Anolis sagrei: one gene and its partner. The protein of the gene in region 2 purifies or fractionates together with the protein of the main gene of each other region. This does not show direct contact. Links are inferred from orthologs where the notes say so. Each region holds a gene or a part of one and is shown on either strand. Other genes may lie near its edges. The genes, in order: COPRS and RIOK1.

Region 1 (16,108 bases), on a different chromosome or scaffold from region 2:
TCACTATAAGTGTCTGTTGCCTTCTCTCCTACCCTTCCCATCAGACCTAGAAACACTGAAAGAACATTTCCTTTAAATTCTAGGGGAGGTGAATTCCTATTGTTATCAAACAAGCCATGAAACTACAACAGAGGCCAGGCTACCTCTATGCAGATACCCTCACTGGGTGACTTTGCAGCTTCATGGCTACTCAATGCTAATCAAGCTTGCTAATTGCATCGTTCACACTTGCTTTAAACAGACACGGATTCTTTCTCCCACCCTGGACATTCCACAGAATACACTCCACTTGCTTCACAGAACTTCTGAAGATGCCAGCAGCAGATGCAGGTGGAACTTTAGGGAACACAGTCATACAGTCTGAAAAATTCACAGCAACCCAGTGATTCCAGCCATGAAACACTTCAACAACACATGTTCATATATGTTTCATTGTTACATAAGAGTTATTAAAGCTGTTGTGATTACTTTATTTTGCAAATGAACACACAAAACACAAGTTATAACAAATCAGTGGTCAAGTCCACTGTCAGGTCTTGATAGTGGACTTGACCAAGCACGTATTGACAAGTGAGAGTGTCATCCATTGTCAGGAAATCCAGCATGCACTAGCAGAAATATGTGTGCAATGACTTGTTTACAACACAACACTATAAATAGGTGACATGTATGAAATCTAATTTAGTTTCTAAATTGTGTGAAAAGCAGTTAATAGTGCAAGTGCAGTACCGGGAAGTGTTTTAAAAAATTAATTAATGCTGACAAAAATAGAGATGAACATTAATACATTGATAGCAGCACACCAAGTTCATTCTTCTCATTTAGGGTTATTTTAATGATATTTGTAATTTTTATTTTAATATTACCCTTCATTATCTGAATATTAATATTATCATGTGCTATATTTAGTCTTTACCCACAATAACATCTTTCTTTACCATGTTGTAGGATGTAGGTAGAAACACAGCTACATAAAAGGATGTTATCATGGCATCTTTCTGTTTATTCACTTTAAACAAGGTTGATTTGAAGGGGGATGCCGAGTAATTTTTTTCTGTAAAGGGGGCAGTAGGCCAAATGATTTTGGGAATTTCTGATTTCAGAGCTTCAACAACCACAATCTCTTACCATTTTCCTATCCCCAGGACTTAACACATATAGCAAGGAGCCCCCGGTGGTGCAGTGGGTTAAACCCCTGTGTTGGCAGGACTGAAGCCCAATCACCTCCCTAAGCTTTAAGCATTGCTAAGCGATTCGAATCCGGGGAGAGTGAGTTGAGCTCCCTCTGTCAGCTCCAGCTCCCCATTTGGGGACATGAGAGAAGTCTCCCACAAGGATGGTAAAACATCAAAACATTTGGGCGTCCCCTGGGCAACGTCCTTGCAGACGGCCAATCGCTCACACCAGAAGCGACTTGCAGTTTCTCAAGTTGCTCCTAATATGAAAAAAAACCACATATAGCTCCTTAATTTAGTAAGGCTTGCTTTCTACACCCACCATGTGGACTGCTGATTTATCCCGGTATGCCATATATAGCTACATCCTGAACAACAAAAAGCAGGTGCTACATTCAGGCAGTGTACCAGCTGTGCTCTGATCTTAAACCCCATCACAGGGGCCTTTAAGTATCAATATATCTGCTTCTGAGAGCTGCCCCTCTTACACCATAATGATCAAAAGAACACATTTACTTTCGTGTGTAGAAGACAACTAGAAAACCAGTATTCACAAATTTTCTGTTCTTTAAATCATCACTGAAGACTCCAGATATATTAAATGCATTATGCTTTTTCTGGCTATAAAAATTAATAAAAAGGTAAAGGTTTTCCCCTAACATTAAGTCCAGCTGTGTCCAACTCTGGGGGTTGGTGGTCATCTCCATTTCTAAGCCAAAGAGCAGGTGTTGTCCATAGACACCTCCAAGGTCATGTGGCTGGCATGACTGCATGGAGCGCCGTAAATTTAATATTACAACATAAAGAACCATTTTACTTTAAACAAGGCCAATTGTCCACCTAAACAAACACACTCTCTTGGCTCTTCTCTTTCCCAGCCTTGCTATCCAAGGCCTATTTCAGGGTCTGTACTTGGAAGAGAAACATACAGTGCTATACATGTTTCTTCCAAGAAAATGGAAATATCTTGTGCAGTAAACTGAAGTTGTACCTCTCACATCATTCCCCACCACCAACCCCTTTGAAATACCTTTCCTAGGCTTCCAGCCGAAAATCTTCGCCACTTCTATTTCCTTCTGAACAGCAAAAGCAGATCCATCAACCTTTATTTGCAGAACAGAAATGCTGGTGTAAGTCAAATTATTATATAATGTAAGAATTCTGATAGGTACTAAATAATCCTATACTTGTTTTACCTCTGCAAAATTGTTTATTATGTTCTATATTTTATATTTCTGTTATCAAAATATGTGTTACCATTCTGTGCATCTATTCTATGTGAATATGAAACATTATAACATGAAACGTTGTTAGTTGCTGATTATTTGCAACATCTGCTTAGAAATCCTCTTGTAGGCCACAGAAAACCTATCCTAACATCTATCACAGGCAATTGTCTTTTTTCTTTGCCAGATATACATTTTTATATTTATTCCACAATCTGAAGGAATCTGATCAAACTAAGGTGTGACCAAATGCATTTGTCTGTGCACATAAGCACACAACACTGTCCTTAAATTGTCCAAATTTAACTGTCCAGTTCACAATGATAACACTTTTCAATACACTGGAAAAGTTTCTTAACTCTAGCTCAGCATTTCTCAACCAGGGGTCTGGACCCCTCGGGGGGGGGGGGGTTGTAAGGGGGTGTCAGAGGGGTTGTCAAAGACCACCAGAAAACACAGTATTTTCTGTTGGTCATAAGGGTTCTGTGTAGGAAGTTTGGCCCAATTCTGTTGTTGGTGGGGTTCAGAATGCTCTTTGATTGTAGGTGAGCCATAAATCCCAGCAACTACAACTCCCAAATGTCAAGGTCTACTGTTTCAAACTCCATCACTGTTCACTTCTAGGCATACTGAGTACTCATGCCAAGTTTTATCCATATTGTTTGAATCCACACTGCTCTCTGAATGTAGGTGAACTACAACTAAAAAACTCAAGGTCAACATCCACCAAACACTTCCAGTGTTTTCTGTTGGCCATGGGTGTTCTGTGTGACAAGTTTAGTTCAATTCCATCGTTGGTGGAGTTCAGAATGCTCTTTGCTTGTAGGTGAACTATAAATCCCAACAACTACAACTTCCAAATGACAAAATCAATCCCTCCCCTTCACCAACCCCACCAGTATTCAAATTTGGGTGTATCGGGTATTTATGCCAAATTTAGTCCAATGAATGAAAATACATCCTGCATATCTGATTTTACATTACGATTCATAACAGTAGCAAAATTACTGTTATGAAGTAGTAACGAAAATAATTTTATAGTTGGGGTCATCACATGAGAAACTGTCTTAAGGGGTTGCGGCATTAGGAAGGTTGAGAAACACTGCTCCAGTTTCTTCATATTATATAAATATTTTAATTAGGATTTCCACAGACAGAAAATCTTATTTCTTGGGCCTAAATCCTGCTAGGATTTAGGATTAATCCCACTGAATCAATGGAACTTATGTATTGACTTACCAAGTTTCCATTGATTTAGTGCAGTGGTTTCCAACCTTTGGGCCTCCAAAGGTTGGACTTTAACTCCCAGAAATCCCAGCCTGCTTACCAGCTGTTAGGAAATGTGGGAACTGAAGTCAAAAACACCTGGAGGCCCAAAGGTTGGAAACCACTGATTTAGTGAGTCCATGTTATGATGCTAACATGATCAAAATGCTAATCACCACCTATGGAGATCCCATCTCATATATTCACACTTTTCCAAGTGTAGTGTTGCTACCAAGATCTACAGCTGTCTCTGTTTATATGGATCTTATTTTAGGCTCTTCATTCAACTTTACTTTTACACTGGAGCAAGCACAGTATAGCCATGCTTATCTTAAAAAACAAATATAATTTTATTGAATGTTACTTAAGATGTTACATAGACGTCACCTTTACTCTCCACTACACAAACATTTGTAAACTTCTGGGTTTTTCTTCCTTTCCTAATATGCTGAAACACTATCCTAATGCAGTGTTTTTCTCTCTAGAAATCAGATCCTTGTCTTAATCCTAAACATTATAATCTTGCATAATTCAAAAGTCCCACCTACTACCATTATCTTATTGTCACCATCCTAACTCTCCAAAGCCATGACTCAATATTCAAATACAGTCATTCTTTCATATATGTGCTTTTGACTTTAGAAGATTTGTTTATTCATGGATTGATTTAAATTTTCTCTCCGGGATTCTCTGAGCCCTCTAATGTGTCAAGGATAAACTTCCTCCAATCAAGCAGGAGAATCTTGAGATTTCCAGACATAACATCTTTCTAGGAATCTCAAGTTCCTTCCATTAACTTCTATGATGACCCTCCAGTAGAAACTGACCATAGTGTCATGCTGAAAGACCTACAAATTCTTAGACAGGAAAAAATAGTAATTTATGTGTGTTTTTCCTTTCATATAGTTGCTCTACTCTGGTCCCAGGACTCACAATATCATTTTAGTATTGTTATCAATTGTTATTTGATACTGGAACGGTCTGGACCATGCTTTTGGATCATGTGATTTAATGTTCATATTAATATGTTTTTAATTCCTTGTTTAAATATAATTACGTTTTATGATTTAATTGATAGCTTTATGTTACTGTTGTTTATGTTAGGTTTTTATGTTTTGTAAGGCATTAAATTATGCCGTGAATATGTTGGAAACTGCTTTTGAGTTCCCCCTGGGGTGAGAAAAGCAGTATATAAACAAAGTCAATAAATAAATAGTATGGCCGTGTTCTAGACGCATTCTCTCCTGACGTTTCACCTGCATCTATGGCAGGCATCCTCAGAGATTGTGAGGTCACAACCTCTGAGGATGCCTGCCATAGATGCAGGTGAAATGTCAGGAGAGAATGCCTCCAGGACATGGCCATACAGTCCAAAAAACCTACAACAATCCATTGGAGGAACTCCCTGGCACAGGACCTGGAGAAGTAGGAAGAAGACGTCAGAATTCAAAAGACCACAGTGATGTTGTTTCTTCAACCTCTGAGGATGCCTGCCATAGATGCAGGCAAAATGTCAGGAGAGAATGCTTCTAGAACATGGCTATATAGTGCAAAAAACTTACAACAACCCAGTGGTTCCAGCCATGGAAGCCTTCAACAATAAATAAAAATATCTTAATTCAATTACACCTCTTCATAAGAGTTTTCCACCTCACTTCTATATCAAAGTAAACCTTTGAGACAATAAATGTTTCTCCTAAAAACAAGCAAGGAGTATTTAGAAAGCTGTTCTGTCAACTTATGACAACCATATACATTTTACAGGGTTTCCTAGGTCATGGAAGACTCAGAGGCAGTTTTCCTAGTTCCTTCCTCTAAAACAGGGGTCCTCAAACTAAGGCCCAAGGGCCGGATACGGCCCTCCAAGGTCATTTACCCGGCCCTCGCTCAGGGCAAACCTAACTCTGAAACGACTTGAAAGCACACAACAACAACAATCCTATCTCATCAGCCAAAAACAGGTCCCATAGAAATACTAATAAGTTTATATTTGTTAATATTGTTCTTAATTTTAATTATTGTATTGTTCAAGGAGCTCCACTGGCTGCCGTTTATTTTCTGAACCCAATTTAACATGCAGGTGCTTACCTACAAAGCCCTGAACGGTTTGGGGCCATCCTATCTGCGTGACCGCATTTCCGTTTACAAACCCACGCGTTCACTGCGTTCATCTGGAGAGGCCCTGCTAGTGATCCCGCCTGTGTCGCAAGTGCGTTTGGTGGGGACACGACAGTGCCTTTTCTGTGGTGGCCCCCCGACTCTGGAACACCCTCCCCAAAGATCTTAGACAGGCCCCTACATTGGCGGTCTTTAGAAAGAACTTGAAGACCTGGCTGTTCCGATGTGCCTTCCCAAAATAGGAAATCTCCAATACCAAGTCCCAGAAGCACTTTATTAGAACTAAGATTGCCGCACACTGCACTTACCCTATAATCCTTATATACCACCTGTCACATCAGCACTTTTAATTCTGTACCCATTACTCTGGCCCGGCCCAGTTTTATTGTGTTTTGGTGTATTGTTTATTGTTTAATATTGCTTTAATTGTTTTTAATTTGCTTTAGGTTTTGTATTGTTATGCTGTGTATCGAGGCCTTGGCCTTTGTAAAGTTAATAATAAAGTTAATAATAAATAAAGTTAATAATAAATAATAATAAAGTGTTTTTTGCACTACAAATAAGATCTGTGCAGTGTGCATAGGAATTCATTCATGTTTTTTTTCTAATTATAATCCGGCCCTCCAACAGTTTGAGGGACTGTGACCTGGCCCTCTGTTTAAAAAGTTTGTGGACCCCTGCTCTAAAATATAGCATAAAAGATAAACATGTGCACTTTGTGTTTTATGAGGGAGGTAATAAAGGCAGCCTATTCTGAAGTGTAACTTCATTCCAGAACTGCCGTGGCTGAATGCCTGGGACCCTGGGATTTATAGTTCCACAAGGCCTTCTGTGCCTCGCCAGTGGCCCTACTACAAGGGCAACCTCCAGGATTCCACACCTCTGGGCAGTTAAAGGGAAGTCAAACTATACTAACTCTACAGCAGGCATGGGCAAACTAGGGCCCTCCAGGCTGAGGGGGAAAGGGCTGTTAGGAATTGTGGGAGTTGAAGTACAAAACACCTGGAGGGCCCAAATTTGCCCATGCCTGCTCCACAGTGTGTTAAAGCCTCAGTTTTGGGCTTCTCTCCTCTCCCTCAGGAGAGGCCTGGAGGTCCCTCACTCTCTCTCCTTCCACCCAGGGCCTCTTTCCTCACCCTTTGCTCCAGGGGACCTCGCTGCTCGGCCCCCTCCATCCTGCTGCTCAAACTCTGCCGCACAAACACACACACACTTCCTTCCCAACACAAGACGACGACCTATTTATCTGAGGGGAAGAGCAACTCCCTCAACAAAGGGGGGGGGGTCACGTGGTCCGCTCTATCAGCACGCGGAAAGGTGAGGGAGGGGATTGACTGGAGGGAACCACCGAATAGAGAAGGAGCGCCGCGCGCCGTTGGGATCCTCGCGCATGCGCCTTGCCTCCACTTCCCTCAGGCCTCTTCTCTTGCCTTACCCACAGGTGTTTTCGCCTTCATCTCCCAGAAATCCTCACAGCTGGTAAACTGGCTGGGATTTCTGGGAGTTGTAGGCCAAAACACCTGAGGACCCACAGGTTGAGAACAACTTGTTCAAGGGAAGGAGGCTGTCTTTGCCATCCTCTCAGGCCCCATCCACACTGCCTTATCATTCAGTTTCTGAATCCACATGATCTGCTTTGAATTCAAGTATATTATTATAATATTTATTTATATCCCTCTTTTTCTCTCCATACAGAGGCTCAAAGCGGCTCACAACTAAAAGCAGTTCAGTCCAACTTCAAATATACAAATATTAAAGCAGTATGAAACAACATTCATATTCAAACAATCCAGGTTATAAACCATAAAAGCACATAAAAACGCATCACAAAAGCACAGCACCCGCTGAATTGAAGGTTTTAGCCTGCTGTCTTAAGGACTGTAGGGAAGTGGCCATTCTGGCTTCCCTGGGAATAATAATAATAATAATAATAATAACCACATTTCCGTATATGAACCCACACGATCTCTTCGTTCATCTGGAGAGGCCCTGCTCACGATCCCACCTGCATCGCAAGCGCAATTGGTGGGAATGAGGGACAGGGCCTTCTTGGTGGTGGCCCCACAACTCTGGAACTCCCTCCCCAAGGACATCAGGCATGCCCCAACATTGGCAGTCTTCAGGAGGAGCTTGAAAACATTGATATTCCAGTGTGCCTTCCCAGATTAAGGAATCCCAAGCAATATGTCCCAAATGCACTTTACGAGAGAGTTAGAATTGTCTGCACACCCACTTACCCCCCAAAATATCCATCCTTTTTTACCTTGTCATGCCCAGCATTTTAAAAAAAATTTAACCTTTACATTAGCCCTGCCAGGTTTTTAAATTGCGTCGTGATATTGTGTTATTGTTTTTGCTTTGCTATGAGTTATTTATTGCTGTATTGTATTGTTGTGGTTGTGTCTTTTTCTGATGTATTTTGGGCTCAGCCTCTTGTAAGCCGCACCGAGTCCTGCGGGAGATGGTAGTGGGGTATAAATAAAGGTTTATTATTATTCCCTGGGAAAAAGAAGGGAGTTCCAAAGTCGAGGGGCAGCGGCCACTGAGAAGGAAGGCCTGTTCTTTCATTCCCACCAAACAAGCTCGAAATGGAGGTGAGACACAGGTAAGAGCCTCTCCTGAAGACCTCAGGGCCCGGGCAGGTTCCTACAAGGGGATGCAGTGGACCAAATTGCCTGGACCTGAACCGTCTAGGCCAGTGATGAGCAACCTTTTTTGCTGAGTGTGTCAAAATTTGCCCCCAAAAAATGTATGTGCTGTCACACCCAGATCCTATAAAATTAAAACTAAGATGTGCTTCTCTCTTTGTCTGGGCGGACCGCAGGGGTCTTTCTTTAGAAGCTCAAAAATTCTCAGCAACTGAGGCCATTTCAGGTTTGGAACATCAAAACAGAATATTTATTTCTCAAAGTCCTTGCAGACTTGGCACAGCTGGTCAAAGTTACAAACAAAACAGTCAATTAGTGAAACCATAGAGATGTTCTTTCTTTCTTTTTTCCTCTAGTCGCTGAGTTGCCTTCCTCCAAATGGTAGAAAAAATCCTGAGATCTTTTTACCCCAACCCTGAGCTACTATCTTTTAGAAAGTGTAGGCCTTCCCTATTCCAGCCCAAGGTTAGTTTTGGAGATGAAGCAAACAGTGTTCAATAACTATCTCAATAGTCCTTTATACTAAATAGCTTGAAATCTCAATTAAGACTCAATTGTCTTTTTTAATAACTCAATTAAGACTCAATTCTTTCCTTTACTCAATTGTACTTACAATGATTTTTTTCAGAGCTCTCTGACTGGTCTTACAGCACATCTGAGGCTTTTCTCTAAAACTGAAGGAGGCAGGGGAGGTTCCAAAATGGAGATCTCAAGCCCAGGAAAAAAAGGCGGACTCCTAACCCAAAGAGATACTTTCTACACCAATAGCTGCAAAAAGGCCTGCAGGCTGGCTTTCCAGCCTCTGATGCTGTTAACTTTCAGGGTGCAGCTGAAATTGTAGCAACCGTGGGGAAATGCAAAAGAATGCTAACCCATGCAGCTAAAAGGCAATGTAAACCATGCTCCAAGAAGACGGAACAACGTAGCTTGGGTGGGGTGTCACTTTGAGGGGGGAAAAACTTAATTTTGTGATATTTATAGTTTAAATAATAAAAAGTATAATTATAATATACAATTTTTAATAAACCAAAAACTAATTGTTTAACTTACCTGCTTAGTGTAAATTAAGATGGCTGCCACTGTTCCTAATGGTGGGAAATGGCACCCATAGCACAGACCCTTACCTCCCAGCTTCCCCCTCACTTATTTCTGGCTTCCCAGAACAGTAGATTGGATGATGGTTGCTGTGGTTATGTGGTTGCTAGTAATGGCGATCACAGGGCCCCCAAAGATGCATCCCCGCGGCATTCTGCTACGCCGGCTGGAAGTGAGGTCAAATATCCCCTAACGGCCTAACCAGAAGTCCCAGAACTAAACGCTTTGTGGCAGAGTGCTGTTATTTTGGCCTACAGACCTCCGGCACAGTGTGTCTACACTACAGCAAATGTTTCATCCTTGGCTACTGCACTCGTCCATGCAGGAGCCAAGGATGAAACGTCCTTGGCATGTGACTCCGTGCTTCTCTATATGCGGCTGCGTGTCATCAGAAATGGTTACGCATTTCAGTACTGGCACGCATGTCATAGGTTCGCCATCACGGGTCTAGGCTTTAAAGGTCATAACCAGCACTTTGAATTGTGCTTGGAAACAGACTGGCTGCCAGTGGAGATGATGCAACGCTGGTTGTCCGCTCCCTCCAGCCAGCTCCAGTGAGCAACCTGGCTGCAGCTCTTTGGACCAGCTGAAGTTTCCGAGCACTCTTCAGAGGCAGCCCCACATAGAATACATTACAGTAATCCAGGTAGGATGTAACTAAGGCATGTACCACCATGGCCAGATCTGGCTTCCCAAGGAACAGGCACAGTTGGCACACCATTTTTAATTGTGCAAAAGCCCTCCTGGTTGCTGCCAACACCTGGGACTCCAGGTTCAGCTCCAAGTCCAAGATGACCCCCAAACTGTAGACGTGTGTCTTTAGGAGTGTGTCCTCAGGATAGGGAGGACCCCTATTCCCTGATTTGCCTTCCCACAGACCAGGAGTACCTCTGTCTTGTCTGAATTAAACTTCAGTTTGTTTCCCCTCATTCAGGCCATTACGGATGACAGACACAAGTTTAAGGTTATGACAGCTTCCTTAGCTTTAGGTGGAAAGGAGTAGTAGAGTTGGGTGTCATCTGCATATAGATGACACCAAGCTCCAAAACTCCAGATGACCTCTCCCAGCAGTTTCATATATATGTTGAACAGCATGGGGGACAAAACAGTACCCCGAGGAACCCCACAGGACATGTATTTTTTTTTTTTTACACAAATAATGAGGACGGAGCTGTCTCGTGATCAGATGTTGACTGAAATGCCTGAAAAGGACAGCATCCAATATCTGACCTGCAGTGTTTGTAGTTCTGTGAGTCTTAACAAATAAGATCATATGGCTGTATTTTGCATCAAATAATCATTCCTTGACTCACAAATGCTTGTGTTGACAAGATTTACCACTTTTTCCATAAAATGCAATGAAATTGAAGATCAACATTTCAGGCCCCCTGGATAATATTATTAGGGCCTGCTTGATTGAAAACATACTAATTACTGTATCATTTTCTTTGTAATTTAAAAATAAATCTGTTCCAAATAGATATCATCCCTTCAGCGAAACCTGTGAATGTGTAACAACCTTGTTGTGGACTGTATTTTAAGTGAATTGATCTAACACACCAACATTTTGAGAATTTGATTTAATTGTCTTGCAAAACTATGTTTAGTGAGGAATTGTGGGACTTGAAGTCCAAAACATCTGGAGGGCCTAAGTTTGCCCATGCCTGGTCTAGTGCCTAAAATCTTGAGTCTTGTTGGTCCGCAGCCACAAATGGGACTTAGGAGTCAGGGTCCATGGTGAAACTCTGCTTTAATGTATTTCCACACACTATTTATCATGTCAGGAATAGCTATGAGGAATCAAGTTTTTCATATTGCATCTTCAGGATAGTGATGATTTTTTCCCCTCCTGCACCAGCCTCATTGCCAAATGATATAATTAGTGGGGGGGGGGGGGGGGCAGATCCCATTGGTCTCACAAAGTTAATGAGAAAATGCAACGTTCACTGTTACACCACCACCACAAGATCTTGCCCACTTTTGGGTAGTAGACTGATCTGTTTTGTAGCTGGCAAGAAAGTGTTCTGGAAAGATCTGCTTCAAGTGGTCTTTACTCCTTCCCCTCTCTTGTTGGTTCCACCTGTCCAATTGAGTTTCTGGGACATACTGAGCCAACTTAAGCAGGGCATAACAATAAAAGTAGAAAAAATATAGACAGGTAGACTATCAGTAACATTCTTTTGGCTCAACACAGTGGATGTTGCACAGTAATAAATGTAATCTTTTTTCCTAGCCAGGGTAAAAATGAAAAACTTGGAAATGTTTATTTTGTGTGCTCACCCCAACAGCACCAATCTTGACAAACTATGTTCCTCATCCCAGCTTTTTGCCCTCACAGAAATCTATGAAAAAGCCATCAGTATATACTGGTTTTTTTTATCCAGGACAGAACTAAATATGTATTTGCCTTTGGAAGAATGAAGCATACAAAGTGTTTAGGGAGGGAAAGGAATGTTTTATATTGATCTGTAGTTCTTCTGATCCACATCAGTCACAACATTGCTCACAGGTGTCCAATTTGCAGCAAAGTGTACTTTGAAATAAAAGTGTCCACTTGTTCTCCCTGCAAAGCTTTCATTGCTCTCCAGTGAATATTGCCACAATTCTCTGGCTTGCCTTCAGGATGGTTCAGCTCTTCCCTGATGTAATCCAGCCAAAGATCTTCAAATGAAAAGAAAACCCAGTTAAGATTGTAAGAAGAAAAGAGAAACATGAAAGAAAAACAACTCACTGTAGGTCAAAAAAATTAACTATACATAGTCCTATGTATCTGTGTGGATACCCATGGATTTGTCAACTTTATAGTATTTTGGTGCACTTCAGCATAAGGACAAAGAACTCAATCCTCCCTACTGGTATAGTGTCCATGGCTACTCCTTCAGAAGACTGGGTAATCTGAAGTTGAGAGGGGTAAAGAACTTGTGGTAGTAATAATAGCTTGTGAATCTCCATTTCTATCTCATACTTCTCTCTAATAACTAAGGCAAGACTAGAAGAAACATCCTGCTATCCCCTATCTCATCTTTCAGCAAAAATGTTCTCAAAAAGTAAAACGTAGGAAACAAGTACTTAGCAGGAGACTCCTACATTCCCCTGCACTGAGGGAAAAAAACAGCCAGTCACTTTGAGGAATTAAGATCAGTTTCCATTGCCCTGCTCATATGGGGACTTGTAAATGAAGGGATAGGAGGATAGACTGGATGAGTGGCTTTTTGAGGATGAGTCACAACTTAACAACTAGCTGTGCTCCGGAAATCCTGATTCTAAGCTAAATATATCCTACTACTGTCAAAGAAATTTGGAGAAAGGGTAGAAGACTTTGGATTAAAAAAGAAAGTAAATTTATTGGACATTGTGCAGACTAAATATCCTTTTTATCAGAAATGTTTGGGACCAAAAGTGTTTTGGATTTTTTTTTTTAGGTCTCTCTCTCTCTCTCTCTCTATATATATATATATATATGCATGAGATAACATTTTGGATTCTGAAATTCTAGATAAGGAAAGCTCCACCCATATTAAGATTACAGTATATGCTGACAGAATCAGTCACTGGTAATGAACTACCCTTCCCTAAATCCACCACAAAAAACAAGAGATATCCGTTACTAAGGAAACATTCCTTCCTTCATTGTTTGCAAAGCAAATGGGTTTCACTTCCAAGGGAAATTTAATTAAGAGGGATGGCTAAATGGGCTGCTTATGAAACTAATTCATGATGTTGATGATTAAACATGCTGCCCAAGCATATTATGTTCCACCCATACAGGTCTCAAGATAGCTTACAACAAGGGGCATTAAAATAAACTACTAATCATATACAGAAAGAAAGGATAAGACTAGCCGTTTAACAAGATGTAATTAATGCAGAGATGTTACTAATTTAACCAGACTTTCCTCGCCTAATACCTACCAGAGTTTTGTGGACTACAGCCCTTGACCACTGGTCATGCAAGGGGAAATTGAAATCCCAAATCTCTGGCAGGGCACTAGGCTGGCAGAGACTAGATTCAAGACTTGCAGGAAAACAGAAAGCCTTCTTACCAGGTTCTGTGCTGCCAAACTCCCTCAAGGCTCGTTCATAATATTCTCGGATATTGAACATTTTTCCAGATTCCTTTAAAGCAAAAAAGTGGGGGGGAAATGACATCAAAACACTGACCTTACCATTTTGTGGCAGTTAAATACAGTAATAACAACTTTATTTTTATACCTTGCCTCAATCTCCCCAAAGGGACTCGGGGCAGCTTACATGAGGCCAAGCCCAATCAACAGTTAAAACGTAGCACATTAGAATGCACAACATCAATTTAAAACAACATAAAACAAAATTATAATAAAATATAAAACAAGCAAAAAAACACCCAACAACATTAGCATAATTCAAGCCTCTATATGGGTGGGCGAACTGGTGCACAACAATTCAGGGGATAGGGCCAATGAGAAAAGTGGTTAAGTCATATAGCAGCGTTAAGGATAAGAGCAATATAAGAAGGATCATTCTGATTTTGGGTAAAACAGTAGTAAAGTGCATGGTAAAAAATGTTGGGTCCTAACTGGGGCCAATTGTCGAGGGAATTGTTTAGTCAAACACACAGCAGAACATCTGTGTCTTCAGATCTTTGCGGAAAGTGGATAGGGAGGGGTTAGTCTGATCTCCCTGGGAAGAGAATTCCAGAGCCGGGGGTGACAACCAAGAAGATTGCAATATTAATACTGATGTGAGCATTTTCAATTACCCCTGTACTTTTATTGCCGCTTGATTTTACTGGAGTAGTTCCTATAAGGGACCGGCAAGAAGAGAGGAAGCACTGGTGAGCCTGAGTATGAGTGTTTCCCGCAACAGCATGGCTCTTTCTGTGTCTCACCCACTCACTCACAGTCCTGTGTGCTTTCCCACATTTTGGTATGACTCCTGCCAATCAACTCAGCTGCTAAGGAGGATTCTATTTCCTTCTATTCTGTAACACCCACTGAAGTTCCCTTTGAGCAACAAACAAGGAATACACAATGCAAAAATTAAAAGCTATAGATGAAAAAGATAACACCCTTGTTCATAAGTCCACTAAAAGAAAAATATTTTCAAGTGATAGGGAAATGCCACCTGAGAAGAAAGCAACTAAAGTGTTCTAAAGTAGGTGTTTTCAGTCAGTTGACGCTACTTCTGAAAAAAGTTCTTTCACAGAAACTCCTGTTAATTGTCACTCAGATGGGAAGGAACATATGAAAAGACCTGTTACCTTAGGACCATAGAGTACCATAAAGGATGTGTCATCTCCTAAAGTTTCAAGAGGTGTAAAGTGTTAAACTAGAGGGGCAACTTGCAGCATTCCAGATTTCACTAGATAATAAATAGCACAATAAAATACTGGTTCTCCTACGGCCAGTGTATCCATATACAGGTTGAGTAACACCCATCCCAGGTGCTTGAGATCAAAGGTGTTTTGGTCTTCAGGTTTTTAAATTTTGAATAACAATGAGATAAAGATGGAACCCGTCCAAAAATGAAATTATTTTAATATTTAAAAAAACACCTTATACACATAGCCATTAATATACAACATTTTAATACTGTTGAGCATAAAATAACGTTTGTATACATTAAACCATGAGAAAGCAAAGATATCACTATCTCAGTAATCCATGTGGACAATTTTGGAGTGTTTTGAATTTTTGAGTTCTGGATAAGAGATGTTCAACCGGTATTACAGTGGATTATTTCTTGTTTCCATGTGTCTAAACATGCTGCATATGACACAAAAGAAACTAGCCCTTGTATCCACTTTAAGCACTTACTTGCTCCTTTTCAATTTGAATCATCTTCTTGAAGAACTCAAGGGAAAACGGGCGGCTTTCATGTAAACTAGGATATAAAAAGTCATGTGAGAAAAGCAATTTTAAAAAACAAGTTGGGGGTACAAAGAAATCATATATGTTTTTAAAGGGGGGGGTTCTAACCTTCTAAAGACCTTCTTTGCTTTTTTATAGCCACCAGTTCTATAAGCCCATTCAAGGTATTTCTCTTTCATGCTTACTGAATCAGCTGGAAGTGTGGCAAGGAAAGATTTCTGAAAAGTAAACACAATCTTAAATGCATTTGTAAAACAGTTGTGAAGCTTTTGCACATTTGTTATGGACTATGAAGGGACTGTATTTATTAAATTTTGCCCAGAAAGAGAGTTCAACTGATTTACCCATGATGATCATAGCAGAATATTTACATTTATGTGTTTATGTGTGTGTGTCCCTGTCTCATTTTAATCTCAGGTTTCCTTGTCTCCTATTTTTCAAGTTGTTTTTGTAGGATGGACAGCATAGATCACCTTTGCTTCTAAATAGATCAAAATCCAAGCCAGACCTCATTTTCAGGTAAATATTTCCAAAATTACAATAGTTTCTATTTAGTTATATATATATATATGACATTATCAATAAGCCTCCTCCCATTTGGGCCCTTGTATCAACTTAGTTTGATCTTCTACCATACCTTTGTTCTCCATAGGACCCAAATCCTATTCTAAAAACAAATGTGACATTAAGCAATAAAACCACTTTCAATTCCTTTCCATTTTATGTACAAT
Region 2 (15,944 bases):
TATTATAAAGCCGCTGTTGAAGAAACCATCACTGGACCCCACTAAATTGGACAACTTTCGGCCTGTTTCCAATCTCCCCTTCTTGGGCAAAGTCATGGAAAGCGTGGTGGCCTCACAACTCCAGGTATTCTTGAGAGACACGGATTATCTGGATCCGGCACAGTCTGGTTTCAGACCGGGACATGGTACCGAGACAGTCTTGGTCGCCTTAGTGGATGATCTGCGCCGGGAGCTAGACAGGGGGAGTGTGTCCCTGTTGGTGCTCCTGGACCTCTCAGCGGCCTTCGATACCGTCGACCACGGTATCCTTCTGGGGCGCCTTGCGGGAATGGGCCTTGGAGGCATTGCTTTGCAGTGGCTCCAGTCATTCCTGGAGGGCCGCACCCAGAAGGTGTTATTGGGGGACTCCTGTTCCGCACCACAGCCTTTGACTTGTGGGGTGCCACAGAGTTCCATACTGTCCCCCATGCTGTTTAATATCTACATGAAGCCGCTGGGTGAGATCATCCGGAGTTTCGGGGTGCGGTGTCATCTGTACGCAGATGATGTCCAACTCTGTCACTCCTTCCCACCTGCTACTAAGGAGGCTGTCGAGGTCCTGAACCGGTGCCTGGCCGCTGTAACGGTCTGGATGAGGGCGAACAAACTGAAATTAAATCCAGACAAGACAGAGGTACTCCTGGTCAGTCGCAAGGCCGAACGGGGTATAGGGTTACAGCCTGTGCTGGACGGGGTCGCACTCCCCTTGAAGGCGCAGGTTCGCAGCTTGGGTGTGACCCTGGACTCATCGTTGAGCCTGGATCCCCAGGTTTCAGCGGTGACCAGGGGAGCATTTGCACAGCTCAGGCTCGTGCGCCAGCTGCGCCCGTATCTCGGGAAGTCTGACTTGGCCACAGTGGTACACGCTCTGGTCACATCCCGCCTTGACTACTGCAACGCTCTCTACGTGGGGCTGCCCTTGAAGACGGCCCGGAAGCTGCAGCTGGTTCAGCGCGCGGCAGCCATGTTACTAACTGGAGCGGGTAGCAGGGAGCACACAACGCCCTTGTTGTCCCAGCTCCACTGGCTGCCGATTTGCTACCGGACCCAATTCAAGGTGCTGGTTTTGGCCTACAAAGCCCTAAACGGTTCCGGCCCAAAATACCTTTCGGACCGCATCTTGGCCTACGAGCCCACGAGGACCTTGAGATCGTCTGGGGAGGCCCTTCTCTCGATCCCGCCTGCCTCACAGGCACGGCTGGCGGGGACGAGGGAGAGGGCTTTCTCGGTGGTGGCCCCCCGGCTGTGGAACACTCTCCCTGCAGACATCAGACAGGCGCCCTCCCTCATGTCCTTCCGAAAAAGCCTTAAGACATGGCTGTTCGAGAGGGCATTTAATTAAGTGCAACAATGTGGTAAAGAATATCGGAATGGAACAAGGAATATGAGACTGGTTATGATTCTACTAAGAGACGAAGCGGATTTTTAATGTTGTCTGTAATTGTTGTTTAGTCTATATGTTGTTGTAACTGGTTTCTTTTGTAAATTGTCTTTTATATGTATTTGTACACCGCCATGAGTCGCCCTAATGGGCTGAGAATGGCGGTTAATAAGTGCATCAAATAAATAAATAAATAAATAAATTCTCCCTCCCACACAGGCAGAGCGGCCGGAGCAGAGGGTGTCTGCAATTGACGGAGCAGCGCCAGGTGGGCATGGCCAGGCCAGGCCGCGCGGGCCAGAGAAATGTCCTCCGCGGGCCGCATGCGGCCCACGGGCCGTAGTTTGGAGACCCCTGGTCTAGCCGACCAAGCCCACCAGTGCCAACCCAGTCTCTCAAGGAAAATTGTATGTACCCTGATCCCCTGTCCAAGCCCACAAAACATGCAAGGGAGTTTTGGTTTGGCTGTGACCTTGTCTACAAAATTGACCTGTTTGTTAATGGTGTCATGGCCACTCCCTAAATGTGGTTGAAAATAAATGTCACTGCATGTCTCTTACTGTTCTAGCATGGCAATAAATATTCTAGTCAATGAATACAGTATTAACACTTACCAATGGTTTAAATACATCGAACCTACCAATCCTTTTTTTACACTATATCAACAGCAGATGTTATTGTTCCAAATACATTTTTATCCCTGTAATACACACAAATTACCTTCTCACGGATCCAAGATAGTTAGCTAACCTATACCTTATATCCATACAGTTTAATTGAATGTAATTTATCATGGAGTCTTCCTCCAAGACCATGACAGAGAGCTCTGGGGAGCCACAGGAATTTTCCTATCATCTTTAGTGCCCATGCAGCATAAAAGGAATTACCATTTGCAAAAAACGGGGAGACAAAGTTTGAGGGACCTCTCAGCACCAGAACCAGGGCTGAAAAAAAGGGTCCCTTCTCAGTTGCCTCCTTCTAGTGGATGGGAATTGAGGCTTCTCTACCTGAACTGGCTGACCAAGACCATCCTGAGGGGGACACACTGCAGGCCAGGGGGGCAACCTCCAGCTGGATCTGCCACAGAGCCTTTCTGCCCACGACTGAGTCCAGGAAAGCAATGGGTGGCACCAACTGTCACAGAAACTTCTGGTCTGCTTGGAACCACCTGGTCTCCTTGGCAACCAGGTAAACACCTCCAGCTTTAGAACCCGGAGCAAAAATGGAACCTTTTCAAATGAAAACCATCCTGGAGCTTCCCTTGGAAAGGGCCCGGCAGGCAGGGTTGTCACATGTGTCCCTGATCCCAATCCTCCTCTTTGAAGAGAAAGTAGAGCCACAAGATTGTGGGCTGAACCCAAAAGGATCCAAAGAGCCTTTTGTAGTCCCCCCAGAGAGACAAACTCTTGAGTTTTCTGAAAAGAAAGGGTTTCTTCCTCTGGCTTGGGACACCTCCATTATCTGCCGCCACCACCTTCCCCACCAGCCAAACTAGGGGCTACCAAGGGGTCCTAGTTCCTCCCGGGAAGCCAACCATTTGGGGACATCGTCCTTTGTTTCATGTTCTGCTTTGGGGTACAAATGCCAAGGGGTAACTGCTTTGCTGACAAACAAATTATAGTCAGCAGCCCGGTCTCTATCTTCAAGTTACCCATCATGCTGCCAATTGCAATATGTGTTTCTTGGCTGATTCTTTTGCCAAATAATTGTGAAGAAGATATCAGTGTGTGAAGACTGCTAGCACACAGGAACTGGAAATGCCAAGGAGTCTGTGACTGGAACAGATAATATGAGAAAAATCAACTGTGATGTGCAAGTAGCAGCAAGATGTAAATTTGACAGGAGAAGAGTGATGAAGTGATGTGGTGCCAGGCGGAGTGGTACATGTTTGTGTTTGTATCTGTGCCACTGATAATTCTAGCTGATAAGATATCTCAAAAATATGTTATATACAGAATACTTTAATCTAAGTGTGCATCTACATGACAGAATTAATGCAGTTTGACACGACTTTAACTGCCATGGCTCAATGCTATGGAATAATGCAATTTGAAGTTTGGTGAGGCATATAATTTTGGGGCATATAAAACTAAAGACATTTAAAAAACTAAAACTTGCACTGAGCAATGGCAATTAAAGTAGTTTCAAACTGCATTAATTCTACAGTGTAGACACACTTGATTACAGTGGTTCCCAAACTTCGGTTCTCCAGAATTCCTAACTGTTAGCCAAGCTGTCTGGGGCTTTTGAGTGTTAAACATTCAAAACACCTGGATGGCCAAAGTTTGACAATCACTGTGATATTTCAAAAATGTATATACCTTATTTAATAATTGGTTATTTGCTTCTTGAAATGTTCCTGTTCTACATCTTACTGGAGCTGTCCATGGGATGAAAAATTTAAATAGACACCCATTACTGTAGTGCTACCTAGTCCTCAGGTGCAGATAGTTATATAAGTACATCATGAACCAAAATAGGTTGCAGAAAAAATTGTGGTAAGGAAACTGATATTTTTAAATTTTAATTAAATTGATTAGTTACCATTTTTGTCTATGTCACTTGTATAAATGCTCTTAAAATACAGTCTAAAAATTGCTTTCAATTATTTTGTTTATGACCCCTCCGTCTGAAACTGTGCCTAGAGTCTGGACAGGCAATTAATTCCTGAAAATTCTGAGTATTGCTTAACAAATCAGTCCATGTTTCCTGCAATTACAGGCCAAATGGTTATCTACCACTTACCAAAAGAGTTTAATTGTAATTGTTAGGAGCCCTGGTGGCATAATGGGTTAAACCCTTGTGCCAGCAGGACTGAAGACCGACAAGTCAGAGGTTCGAATCCGGGGAGAGTGCAGATGAGCTCCCGCTGTCAGCTCCAGCTCTCCGTGCAGGGACATGAGAGAAGCCTCCCACAGGGATGGTAAAACGTACAAACATCTGGGTGTCCCCTGGGCAATATCTTTGCAGACAGGCAATTCTCTCACACCAGAAGTGACTTGCAGATTCTCAAGTCATTTCTGACACCAATTTTTTTTGTAAGAAGTCATTCAGTACAATGGCTGCAATTCTACAAACATATATTTATTTATTTGCAGTATTACATTTATTTATTTGCAGTATTACATTTATTTATTTGCAGTATTAGTATACTGCTTCCTCTCTGTCAAAGAGACTCAAAGTGGCTAATATCAATTTGAGGAAATATATATAAAGAGCTGAGATCTACAGAGAATAGTAGGTTGAAGGAGCAGAAGTAGCTGAACAGCTATTGCAATTGGGGTACGGCCTGAGATCAGTCATTCAGAATGGAGACTACAATGCAGAATTTTATTTTATTTATTTATTTAGAACATTTTTACCCTGCCCTTCTCAACCCCTAGAGGGACTCAGGGCGGCTTACAATTGGCAACAATTCACTGCCGCTTCATAAAATACAAATAGCAAAAATAACAATTAAAACCATTAACTTTAAAATAAAAAAAATAAACAGTATACTTACAATCCATTTAGCTATTGCCAGTCTAGTGGCTATTTTTCTAGCCATATACTAATGATTACTCTGCTTCTCTTATCCAAATCCACTTCCAAGCCATAGCCAAATATCCATTGTCCTTTAACCTGATTGCCTGAAGGCTTGGTCCCACAACCACAATTTTACCTTCTTTCTGAAGGTGAGGAGGGATGATGATGATCTAATTTCCCTGGGAAGTGTATTTCACAGGCGGGGGGGGGGCTACCACCGAGAAGGCCCTGTCCCTCGTCCCCACCAAACGTGTTTGAGACAACAGCGGGGCCGAGAGCAGGGCCTCCCCTGAGGATCTTAAGCTCCGAGGTGGGACGTAGGAGATACGTTTGGACAGAAACGCTGGACCAGAGCCATATAGGGTTTTATAGGTCAAAACCAGCACTCCTCTATTTGTATATACAAATAGAGGAGTGGTATAAGGAAACAGGGATAAGGGGAGATATGCCCAGTTAAATGCACAATTCCAGAGGTTAGCCAGAAGAGATAAGGAACTATTTTTAAATAAGCAATGCATGGAAGTGGAAGAAGACAACAGAATAGGAAGGACAAGAGACCTCTTCCAGAAAATTAGAAACATTGGAGGTAAATTTCAGGCAAAAATTGGTATGATAAGAAACAAAGATGGCAGGGACCTAACAGAAGCTGAAGAGATCAAGAGAAGGTGGCGAGACTATACAGAAGATCTGTATAGGAAGGATAATAATATTGAGGATAGTTTTGATGGTGTGGTGAATGAATTAGAACCAGACATCCTGAGGAGTGAGGTTGAATGGGCCTTAAGAAGCATTGCTAACAACAAGGCAGCAGGAGACGACGGGATCCCAGCTGAACTGTTTAAAATCTTAAAAGATTATGCTGTCAAGGTGATGCATGCCATTTGCCAGCAAATATGGAAAACACAAGAATGGCCATCAGACTGGAAAAAGTCAACTTATATCCCCATACCAAAAAAGGGAAATGCGAAAGACTGCTCAAACTTCCGTACAGTGGCCCTTATTTCTCATGCCAGTAAGGTAATGCTCAAGATCCTGCAAGGAAGACTCCAGCAATACATGGAGCGAGAGTTGCCAGATGTTCAAGATGGGTTTAGAAAAGGCAGAGGAACGAGAGACCAAATTGCCAATATCCGCTGGATAATGGAGAAAGGCAGGGAGTTTCAGAAAAACATCTACTTCTGCTTCATTGACTATTCTAAAGCCTTTGACTGTGTGGATCATAATAAATTGTGGCAAGTTCTTAGTGGGATGGGCATACCAAGCCACCTTGTCTCTCTCCTGAGGAATCTGTACAAGGACCAAGTAGCAACAGTCAGAACTGACCACGGAACAACAGACTGGTTCAAGATTGGGAAAGGCGTACGGCAAGGCTGCATCCTCTCACCCAACCTTTTTAACTTGTATGCAGAACACATCATGCAATGTGCGGGGCTGGATGAATGCAAAGCTGGGGTGAAAATTGCTGGAAGAAACATTAACAACCTCAGATATGCAGATGACACCACTCTGATGGCCGAAAGCGAGGAGGAGCTGAGGAGCCTTCTAATCAAGGTGAAAGAAGAAAGCGCAAAAGCCGGGTTGCAGCTAAACGTCAAAAAAACCAAGATTATGGCAACAAGAATGATTGACAACTGGAAAATAGAGGGAGAAACCGTGGAGGCCGTGACAGACTTTGTATTTCTAGGGGCAAAGATTACTGCAGATGCAGACTGTGGCCAGGAAATCAGAAGACGCTTACTTCTTGGGAGGAGAGCAATGTCCAATCTCGATAAAATAGTAAAGAGTAGAGACATCAGACTGGCAACAAAGATCCGCCTAGTCAAAGTCATGGTATTCCCTGTAGTCACCTACGGATGTGAGAGCTGGACCTTAGGGAAGGCTGAGCGAAGGAAGATCGATGCTTTTGAGCTGTGGTGTTGGAGGAAAGTTCTGAGAGTGCCTTGGACTGCGAGAAGATCCAACCAGTCCATCCTCCAGGAAATAAAGCCCCACTGCTCACTGGAGGGAAAGATACTAGAGACAAAGTTGAAGTACTTTGGTCACATCATGAGGAGACAGGAAAGCCTAGAGAAGACAATTATGCTGGGGAAAGTGGAAGGCAAAAGGAAGAGGGGCTGACCAAGGGCAAGATGGATGGATGGCATCCTTGAAGTGACTGGGCTGACCTTGAGGGAGCTGGGGGTGGTAACGGCCGACAGGGAGCTCTGGCGTGGGCTGGTCCATGAGGTCACGAAGAGTCGGAGACGACTGAACGAATGAACAACAATAAGGAAGCATGGAAAATAGCAATAAATGATAAATTTACATGTATATTAAAGGTTAAAAAAGGTACATGGAAACAAAGCGATTTTGATGCTGTATGGGGAAGATTTGTGGTAAATGGATTAAAAAATAAGGAAGGAAAATTACCGTCACAAGAAGAAATGAAATTTTGGACAGATGAAATGTAAGAATGGTGGCTTGAGACAGGTGGAGGGGAGCACTGTGGTGGAAAAAAGGGGAAAAAAAGAGAAAAAGGGGGGGAAATGTCAAAGCAAAACAACAAAACAACATGTTAAAGAGGCTGATGTACAAAATGCAATAGTGTGTAATAAATGTGATAAATCAATAAAAATTAATTTAAAAAAAGGTCAAAACCAGCACTTCGAATTGTGTTCGGAACTGGATCGGCAGCTGATACAACAGGGGGGTGAAATGAGAATACCGTGTAATAATAATAATAATAATAATAATAATAATAATAACAGTAACTTTAATTTTGTATCTGCCTCTATCTCCCTGAAGGGACTTGGGCAGCTTACATGGGGACAAGCCCATGTAGAATGAATGCAGTTTGACAACACTCAATGCTATGACATTTAGCTGCACTGAACTGCATTATATGCGTCTACACTGTCCTATAATTCAGTTCAAAGCAGATAATTTGGATCTTATATGGCAGTGTAGAAGGGGCCTCACGCAAGGCAACACTAAACCATGAACCATCATGGGGTTTTCTTGGAAAAAAAATCTTGAGAGGGACTTGCCCAAGGTTGCCCAATGGGTTTTCTATGGCAGAGGGCAGATTCGAACCCGGTTCTTTTGAATCACAGGCCTGAGCTTTAACCGCTACGCCACGCTTTCAACGTGTCATCTTTGCAGACGGCGGGCTCATTGCGTCATTCCTGTATGGTCCAATCAAATCCATCAGCGGGAGATAGAATTCCTACATACATACAAGAGAGAATGAGAACACAGACCCAAGCAGTCGTCTGCAGAGGTATAAGCCTCATCGATTGGCGATTACTTTGGGCTGGCTATTAGTCGTGCTTTGGACACAGTTTGTCGTTCCTCCGGGAATAGGAGCCGGCCGCTGTTACGAGAAATGGCTGCGGATGGCCCTCGGAAGGATCCGTAGAACGTAGCTTCTGACGTATTGTGCCGGAAGAAGTGGGATTCGGACCACGTGGGTGGAAAGCTTGGAAATCTTCTCTTTCTCTGTGGTGCTGGAGGTGGGCAAGGGATGCTTGGTGGGAATAGTGTCACTAGGTTTGAATTTTTCTGTTTTTACTCTAAATCACACTGTTTTCTTCTGTAGATGTACTTTTGGTGCCTTTGAAGAAATTGTTTTGATGGCTTGTTTTTTTGCTTTGCTGGAATGGAAAGTATTTTAGATTGGTGTTTCTTTTTGGTACTATTCATTTCCTGTGTAACATTGCTTTCTTTTTAAATGCTTGTTTTCATTTTGCGTGTGAAGAAGGTGGAGGACCTTTATTTTGCTTATGAAGATAATGTAGATATTCTCTTAAATAAATGAACATACAATAATATATGCAGATCTTCTCATGTTACTCCTAAGATCTGCATATGTTAGCAGTAACAAATTCCACAATCTCCTAGCCATAATGGATACCTAACTCATCTAATACATTCATTATTATTGGGGTTTTTTTTTACTTTATTTCTATTCAAGGCGGCTAACAGTCACACACTTTGATCAGTTTACAGCAAAGCAAATACAAAAATTAAAAAACGATTAAATAATAATAATAAAAACTCAGCTGCTATCAAGACCTCAAAATCGAATTGCAAAGTCTCTGGAATAAACCAATACAGGTGGTCCCAGTGGTGATTGGCGCACTGGGTGCCATGCCAAAAGATCTCAGCTGCATTTGAAAACAATAAATATTGACAAAATCACGATCTGTCAGCTGCTAAAGGCCACCTTGGATCTGCACGCATTATTTGAAAATACATCACACAGTCCTTGACGCTTGGGAAGTGTTCGACTTGTGAATTTGTGATACAAAATCCAGCATATATATCTCATTTGCTGTAACATGCTGTGGTTTTGTGTCAATAATAATAATAATAAAACTTTATTTTTAGACTGCTCTCTCTCTCTCCCCGAAGGGACTCAGGGCGATTTACACATACAAAAAGGCAAGCTTTCAATACCTCAAGTGAGTACAAATGTAAATAATACACAATAAAGCCGGCATCCTCAAACCACGGCCCTCCAGCTGTTTGGGCCTCCAACTCCCAGAAGCCCTAATGACCTTGTTCAATTGTCAGGAATTTTGGGAGTTGAAGGCCCAAACATCCGGAGGGCCGTAGTTTGGGGAAGCCTGCAATAAAGCAAAAGTCACAACAATGAGCTTATAACAAACAATTAAGCATAATAATAATAAAACTTTATTTATACCCTCGGAGCAGCTTACATGAGGCCAAGTCCAAAAACACATCAAAGCAACAACAATAATAAAACAACAAGTAATAAACAAACAATACAATCAATAAACTCACAAGTAGAAAATAACACACAAAATTTAAAACTTTAAAGATTGTGATGAAAAATAAAACAAAACAATCCAATAAGACATAGGCAACTAAAACATAAGTAAACATTACAACAAATAACCCCAAAAGCAATTTAAAATACAGTTACATTAAAAATTGTTGGCATCAGTGTTGATTTGAAATGTAACGTGGCAGTCATATAGTACAAGTGGGACTAGCCAGCATTCCAAGTAAAGTGTCTTAGTCCTCCTCCTCTCCATACACTAAAGTGCATAGGTGCATTTTTAGAAGTTTCTTAAAGGAGAGGAGGGTGGGGACTGTTGTTACCTCTTGGGGGGGGGGGGAGTTCCAGAGATGGGAAGCAATAATGGAGAAGGCCCTCTCTCTCATTCCCACCACCTAAACTTTCTGTTCTGTTCTGTTCTGCTTTTAAAACATTGGATTGTATTTCCCCATTAAATTAACCAGATTGTTTCTAATGGGCCAAGTCTGTGGTGTGGTGGATAAAAATACTAATTGTTGCCATTCTGGGAAAAGACGGAAACACCAACTATAGAAGACTGAACAGTGAAGATGTGGGAATTAATAGAAATGGAGAAATTAACAATGTTGTTGAAGAATAAGTCACTGAACATTCTTAGAAAAATGGAAACTATTTTGTCAATATATATCTGAGGGATAAGGACAGACTTTATGTACAGGTTTGGATTCATAGAATGTTTGGATATTCACCTATAAATGTTAAAACAAGCAGAAGTAAACAATTTTCTGGATATAAAGTGAAACCAACAAAAGAGAAGCTGGAAATCCATTTTTAAAACCGATGTATGTATATTGATAGATTTAGAGTTATAAAGTACAGATGTATGTTCATTGTCTATGTTTATGTATTCATAAGTATTGTTCCTTTGTGTGTGTGTGTGTGTGTGTGTGTGTTGTCAAAATTTTTAATTAAAATATTGAGAAAAAAAGATGTCAACATTTTTCATGGCATATTTGGCTGCTCACATTTTTAAAAAGTCTCCTGCAGTTACAGCCCTAGTAAACTTATTTGATGCATTAGGAGGAATAGTCTCTATTCTCTTATCTCTGTGATGCTGGCAAAATTTGATATGTAAATAGATTATTTATGAGTAAAATATTCAAAGGAGTGATCTTACATATCCAAAGTGTCTGTGTCTTTTTGTCAAACAGAAAACACAACATGGTCCAAGTCAGAGAAGGCAGCTTTACTTTTCCTTTTCCATTGGCCATGTTGGGCTGGGCTGATGGGAATTCAGTCCAATACTTCAGGGCCAAGCATATAATTCCTGTTCAGTTTGTAGCACATATGTCTTCTTTTTCAATGCATGATAGTAGTTGATCTTCAGAAGATAATGTTTTACAGACTATGTAGAGATAGAGTACTGCATCTGTGAGTAGTTCCCAGCCAGGATGATTTATGGCATAGTATAATAATAATAATTTGCACTGTTTATAATGCCCCAATACAGTTCACCTGTAATATATTGTGTATACTATACTTTCCTCTTACAACATCTGCATATATTTATTTTGTAGGAAGCAAAAGACTGCACAGATTGTATACATTGGTGACTAGCCAAAATGGATTACAGGGAGGAAATTATGAGCCAGATAGTTCCAGGACAATTTGATGATGCAGACTCTTTGGACAGGTAATTGACAAGTTCTATGGTTTTCAGGTTCTATAATCCAAATGTGGTTGAACTCCAACTTTTATTAACCTTCACTGGGCGGCCGTTGTTGAGTAATTATGGGATTTTATGAATTTTGTTGTTATATTTTAACTATGTTGAACCTTGGGCTTGTCTACATATGAGCCGCCCCAAGTCCCTTCGGGGAGATGGAGGAGGGTACAAAAATAAAGTTGTTGTTGTTATTATTATTATTTGTAGTGCAAAAATGTCTGGTAGGCTACAGCTGCCTGCTTGTGTTGCATTTCAAATAACAGCTCTCGTCACCTATCATCATACTCCAGTTTCTATATTGTTATTTGGATAAATGGAGTCAATATTGTTGTTTGGATAGATGAACAAATGTTTGAGGAATATAGGGAGAAAAATGTGTGCTCGTGCCATAGAGAGCAACAGTATCCTTTCCAAAGGTTTATTCCATCATTCTTAACCTGAACTTGTAGATACAGTTTAAACAGCACAATGCTTTTCAAACTGTGTGTCACAACATGATGGTTTGATGGTAGCAGTGTGTAGGTGTGTCATGTAAAGTTTATGAAAAATAAGCAATAAATCACATATTACACACACACACACACACACACACACATATATATAATGAATTTTTTCATGAGATATGTTGTGTACCCATATATTTGGTTAATACTATATGTATGTATCCCTATCTCTACTAAAGGATTAGTTTAACCTCTGGCTTGATAGGAAAACTGTATGATTGTTTCACAAAATGATGCATGTCTAAAAAGTGTGCCACCAACATGAAATGTTTGGAAAGCTCTGGTCGAGCAGCTTGGTTTCATCAACAGTATGCTCCTGTTGTAAGAAATTCTTGAACTACCTTTAGATGGAGGAAAATGTATGAATTAAGGGTGAAGGTTTAATTCTTGAAGATGGTTAAACTTTGGCTTTGTGTTCTCTCTGCTGAGTTCCTTACACATCTGTATTTATTAGGAGAAAACCATAAACCAATAAATGTGTTCACTAAAATAATGCAAAGGATCCTTCTATTAAAAAACAGGCTCAGGTTCCAGTAGTGGCAAACCACTCATGGAACAGACCATAGATAGTGTTTGCTATTCCCTTTGCTCAAGGTCCAAGACATCCTTGCCCCTGTGGAACAACAGTGGCAGCAGGAGGAATTGGTGGCCATATATTGCTCTAGCTCCATATTTCTTGAATGCCTGGCTTGAAGACGCTATGGAAGGGCTGCCCTGGAAATTTCAAGAAATAGGCAGTCCTGTTGATGCTGCCTTGTTATCACAGCTGCTTTCACTTTTTCCTGGATAACTCCTTCTCCCATATTTTGTTTCCCTGGAATGGTTTCTCAGCTCAGGTTCCATGAGTGCTGAGAAGACTTGGTAGGCCTTGGTGGCCACACTATGTTGACAGCTGTTATGAACACTATTTATTTATGTATTTATTTACTTTGCTTATATACCGTTGTTCTCAGCCCGGGGGCGACTCACAGCGGTGTACAAGATAGAAAAACAAGGTTCAAAATTCAGGACACTATCTAAAATATCAATCTAGCAGTAACCAAAAACATCATTATCAAAAACATCAGCAATATCAATAATACAAACAGCCATTCACGTTGTCTCATCGTTTGAACCACAATCCAGTATCATTTTCCGTTGTTCCATTCCTGTCGTCATTACCAATTATTGCACTTCTTGATCGAACGCCTTCTTGAACAGCCAGGTCTTTAATTTCCTGCGGAATATCATCAGGGAGGGAGCCAGTCTGATGTCCACGGGAAGGGTGTTCCACAGCCGAGGAGCCACCACCGAGAAGGCCCTGTCTCCCCAAAGGCAAAAGACTCCTATCGCTTGTGTAATGCTGCAGAAGAAAGCTGCTGTAGTCCCCTCCTACTGCCAAATGTGATTCAGGATTGCTGTTAAGCTCTGGGTTTACAATGTTGTTGGAATAGCAATTGCAGATCAACAACTTCGGCAGGTTCATATTCTTCCCACTCCTGTATTAAGCCTTAGATTGACTTGGGAAATGTTGAGTAGATCTGAGGCAGTTTGAAGTAGCTTCAAATTGTGGTGGCCAGACAACTCACTCACACAAGTGCATGAAGACAGCCCTTAATATGCATCAATACTCTGGATTGTGTCATCACCATCTGGATTTCAAGGTGGTTCCAGGATTTCATATGCACAGCAAAACCACTTTTCAAACTGTATTAAATGGTCAGTGTAGATGGGACCTGTGTTGGTTAACAGAAGTACATTATTAAATGCATGCTTTCCAGTATTGTTTCATAGGAGCCCCCAGTGGCACAATTGGTTAAACCCTTGTGCTAGCAAGACTGCTGACCGAAAGATCGGCAGCTTGAATCTGGGGAGTGAGGTGAGCTCCCATCTGTCAGCTCCAGCTTCCCATATGGGGACACGAGAGAAGCATCCTATAGGATGGTAAAACATCCAGGTGTCCCCTGGACAGTGTCCCTGCAGACATCTGATTCTCTTACACCATAAGTGACTTGGAATTTCTGAAGTCGCTCCTGATACGAAAAAAAGTATTAGGAAACGTTTAACCTTCCAGTTTTTACAAAATTTCTGTTTTTAATATAAAGGCAGAGAGAATGCTTTCAGGAAGGGGGAGAAGCAGATTTATATGCCAACCTTCAGGCTGTGTAGCTTCCTGGACAAAGAAACAGATGGGAGGTTTTCCACCTACTGCTTCAGCTGGAGAGCAGACTTCACTCCTTCCTCCTCACATGGGAAAGATAAGAGGAGGAATGAAATGTTGCCAGTTTATTCTTTCAGATGTCGCCTTTGCTTTTTCCAATTTTGGGGAGAAAGGAATGGGAAACAAAGCACTTTCAACTCACATTTGCAGAAACTGTCTTCTGGAAGCAATGTCTGAACATGGGAAAGAACAACTCACTTATTGGAGACAGTGGGGAGTCCTTGCTGTAAGGGGAATGTGGTGGAAGTGGGCCCTCCACATTAAAAAAAACCTCATCTCATACAATTTTCAAAATTTTATTAAATACAGGGTTGTTGGTTTTCTTTTCGGGTTTTTAAAATGAATATATTGTTTTTAAAGTTGTTCATTCTTGTCTATTGCATTATATGATTAAGTGTGTGTGTGTATGTTTAAAAAACAGTGGACCTGAACAGGATATTAAAGCAGCTCTGGAAGAGAAGGTGGTAGTAAAAACAGAGCAGTGGCGTTCAATTGAGGAAGCAGATGTGGAAGAATTTTATGAGAGCAGTGAAGGCGAAGAAGATGATTGGGACTGGGATGACGATGCTGGAAAGGTCACCAAGCGAAACCCACTCTCTGGAGGAAGAAACCCACAGGTGTGTTGTGTTTATTGGTTTATTGTGTTTTGAACTGTTATAGCAATATATTACATTTAATAAATCAGTAGTTTCATTTGCATAAATCTATTAGAATGATTAGCATTACTTGCGCACACAGAAAAAAGTAGTAGACATACATACAGCCAGGAAAACTTACAGCAACCTAATCATATCAATATTTGCCACCATCTTTATATATGAAAGAAACTTTGGAAGCAAGTGGCATGGAAGAATTGGGACGAAAGGAGAGATGGGTTTAGATGAGTAGCATTCTTTCCTAATTGTTTGATAGTGGGAATGAGGTTGGGAACATTGAATGTATGCATCTTGAGATTTTTTTTTTAATTAAGGTTCAATTATATCACATACTGTGTTGTTTCAGACAAATAAACAGATTTCTAACAGCAATGCAGCAAAAATGTCTACTCCGACAGACAAAGCCCTACGAAAATTTGAAAATAAAATCAATCTAGGTAAGTGTGAATCTTCAGGATTCTTTCATGAACAGAATTGCCTTAACCCTTCCCTATGCTATCCAGAGCTTTCATATATAGAGTAGAGTCTTGCGTAGCCAATGTAACCGGGCCGGCAGATCGTTGGATAAGCAAAAATGTTGGATAATAAGGAGGAATTAAGGAAAAGCCTATTAAACATCAAATTATGTTATGATTTTACAAATTAAGAACCAAAACATCATGTTTTACAACAAATCGACAGAAAAAGCAGTTCAATACATGGTAATGTTATGTAGTAATTACTGTATTTACGAATTTAGCACCAAAACATCGCAATGTATTGAAAACATTGATTACAAAAACATCGACTACTAACAAGTTGACTACAAATAAAGATAGAAATTTATAAAATGAACTTACAGTAACAACATTGAAATTAAATCCATAAAAAGTTCAGTCCTGTGAAGATTTAAAAAGAATCTGTGATCCTTGCCTCCTTTCCAGGTGCTCACCAGGAGGGGCAAGACACAGCTGGTGCAGGCCAGATGCTGTGCCTGATGGGAAATGTCTGCATCGGCTGTGCTTTGCCCCTCCCGGTGGGTGCGTGGAGAGGCCCACTGCACATTGCTGCCTAGAGAAACAGCTGTGGACCCGGGTGGGAGGCAGACTGCTTTGGATAATACAGAGCATTGGTTGAGCGAAATTTTGATAAGCAAGATATATATGACTGAAG

The links.
Region 1: the proteins of RIOK1 (region 2) and COPRS purify together in Homo sapiens (affinity purification with mass spectrometry; 3 studies listed by BioGRID and IntAct, with this or other methods). This does not show direct contact. The link is inferred for Anolis sagrei from reciprocal best matches to the Homo sapiens genes RIOK1 and COPRS.

What each region holds. Positions count from the first base shown.
Region 1 is NC_090022.1:144,740,169-144,756,276, forward strand, and holds the start of COPRS (coordinator of PRMT5 and differentiation stimulator), read right to left. Parts: upstream 7,037-16,108; 5' UTR 6,961-7,036; coding exon 6,922-6,960; intron 2,279-6,921; coding exon 2,206-2,278; intron 56-2,205; coding exon 1-55. Other genes in the region: UTP6 (U3 small nucleolar RNA-associated protein 6 homolog), read right to left, coding at 12,032-12,189, 13,572-13,644, 15,324-15,390, 15,486-15,595. UniProt on the Homo sapiens protein: Histone-binding protein required for histone H4 methyltransferase activity of PRMT5.
Region 2 is NC_090024.1:85,105,942-85,121,885, forward strand, and holds the start of RIOK1 (serine/threonine-protein kinase RIO1), read left to right. Parts: upstream 1-8,291; 5' UTR 8,292-8,473; intron 8,474-11,284; 5' UTR 11,285-11,329; coding exon 11,330-11,400; intron 11,401-14,557; coding exon 14,558-14,753; intron 14,754-15,138; coding exon 15,139-15,229; intron 15,230-15,944. UniProt on the Homo sapiens protein: Involved in the final steps of cytoplasmic maturation of the 40S ribosomal subunit. Involved in processing of 18S-E pre-rRNA to the mature 18S rRNA. Required for the recycling of NOB1 and PNO1 from the late 40S precursor.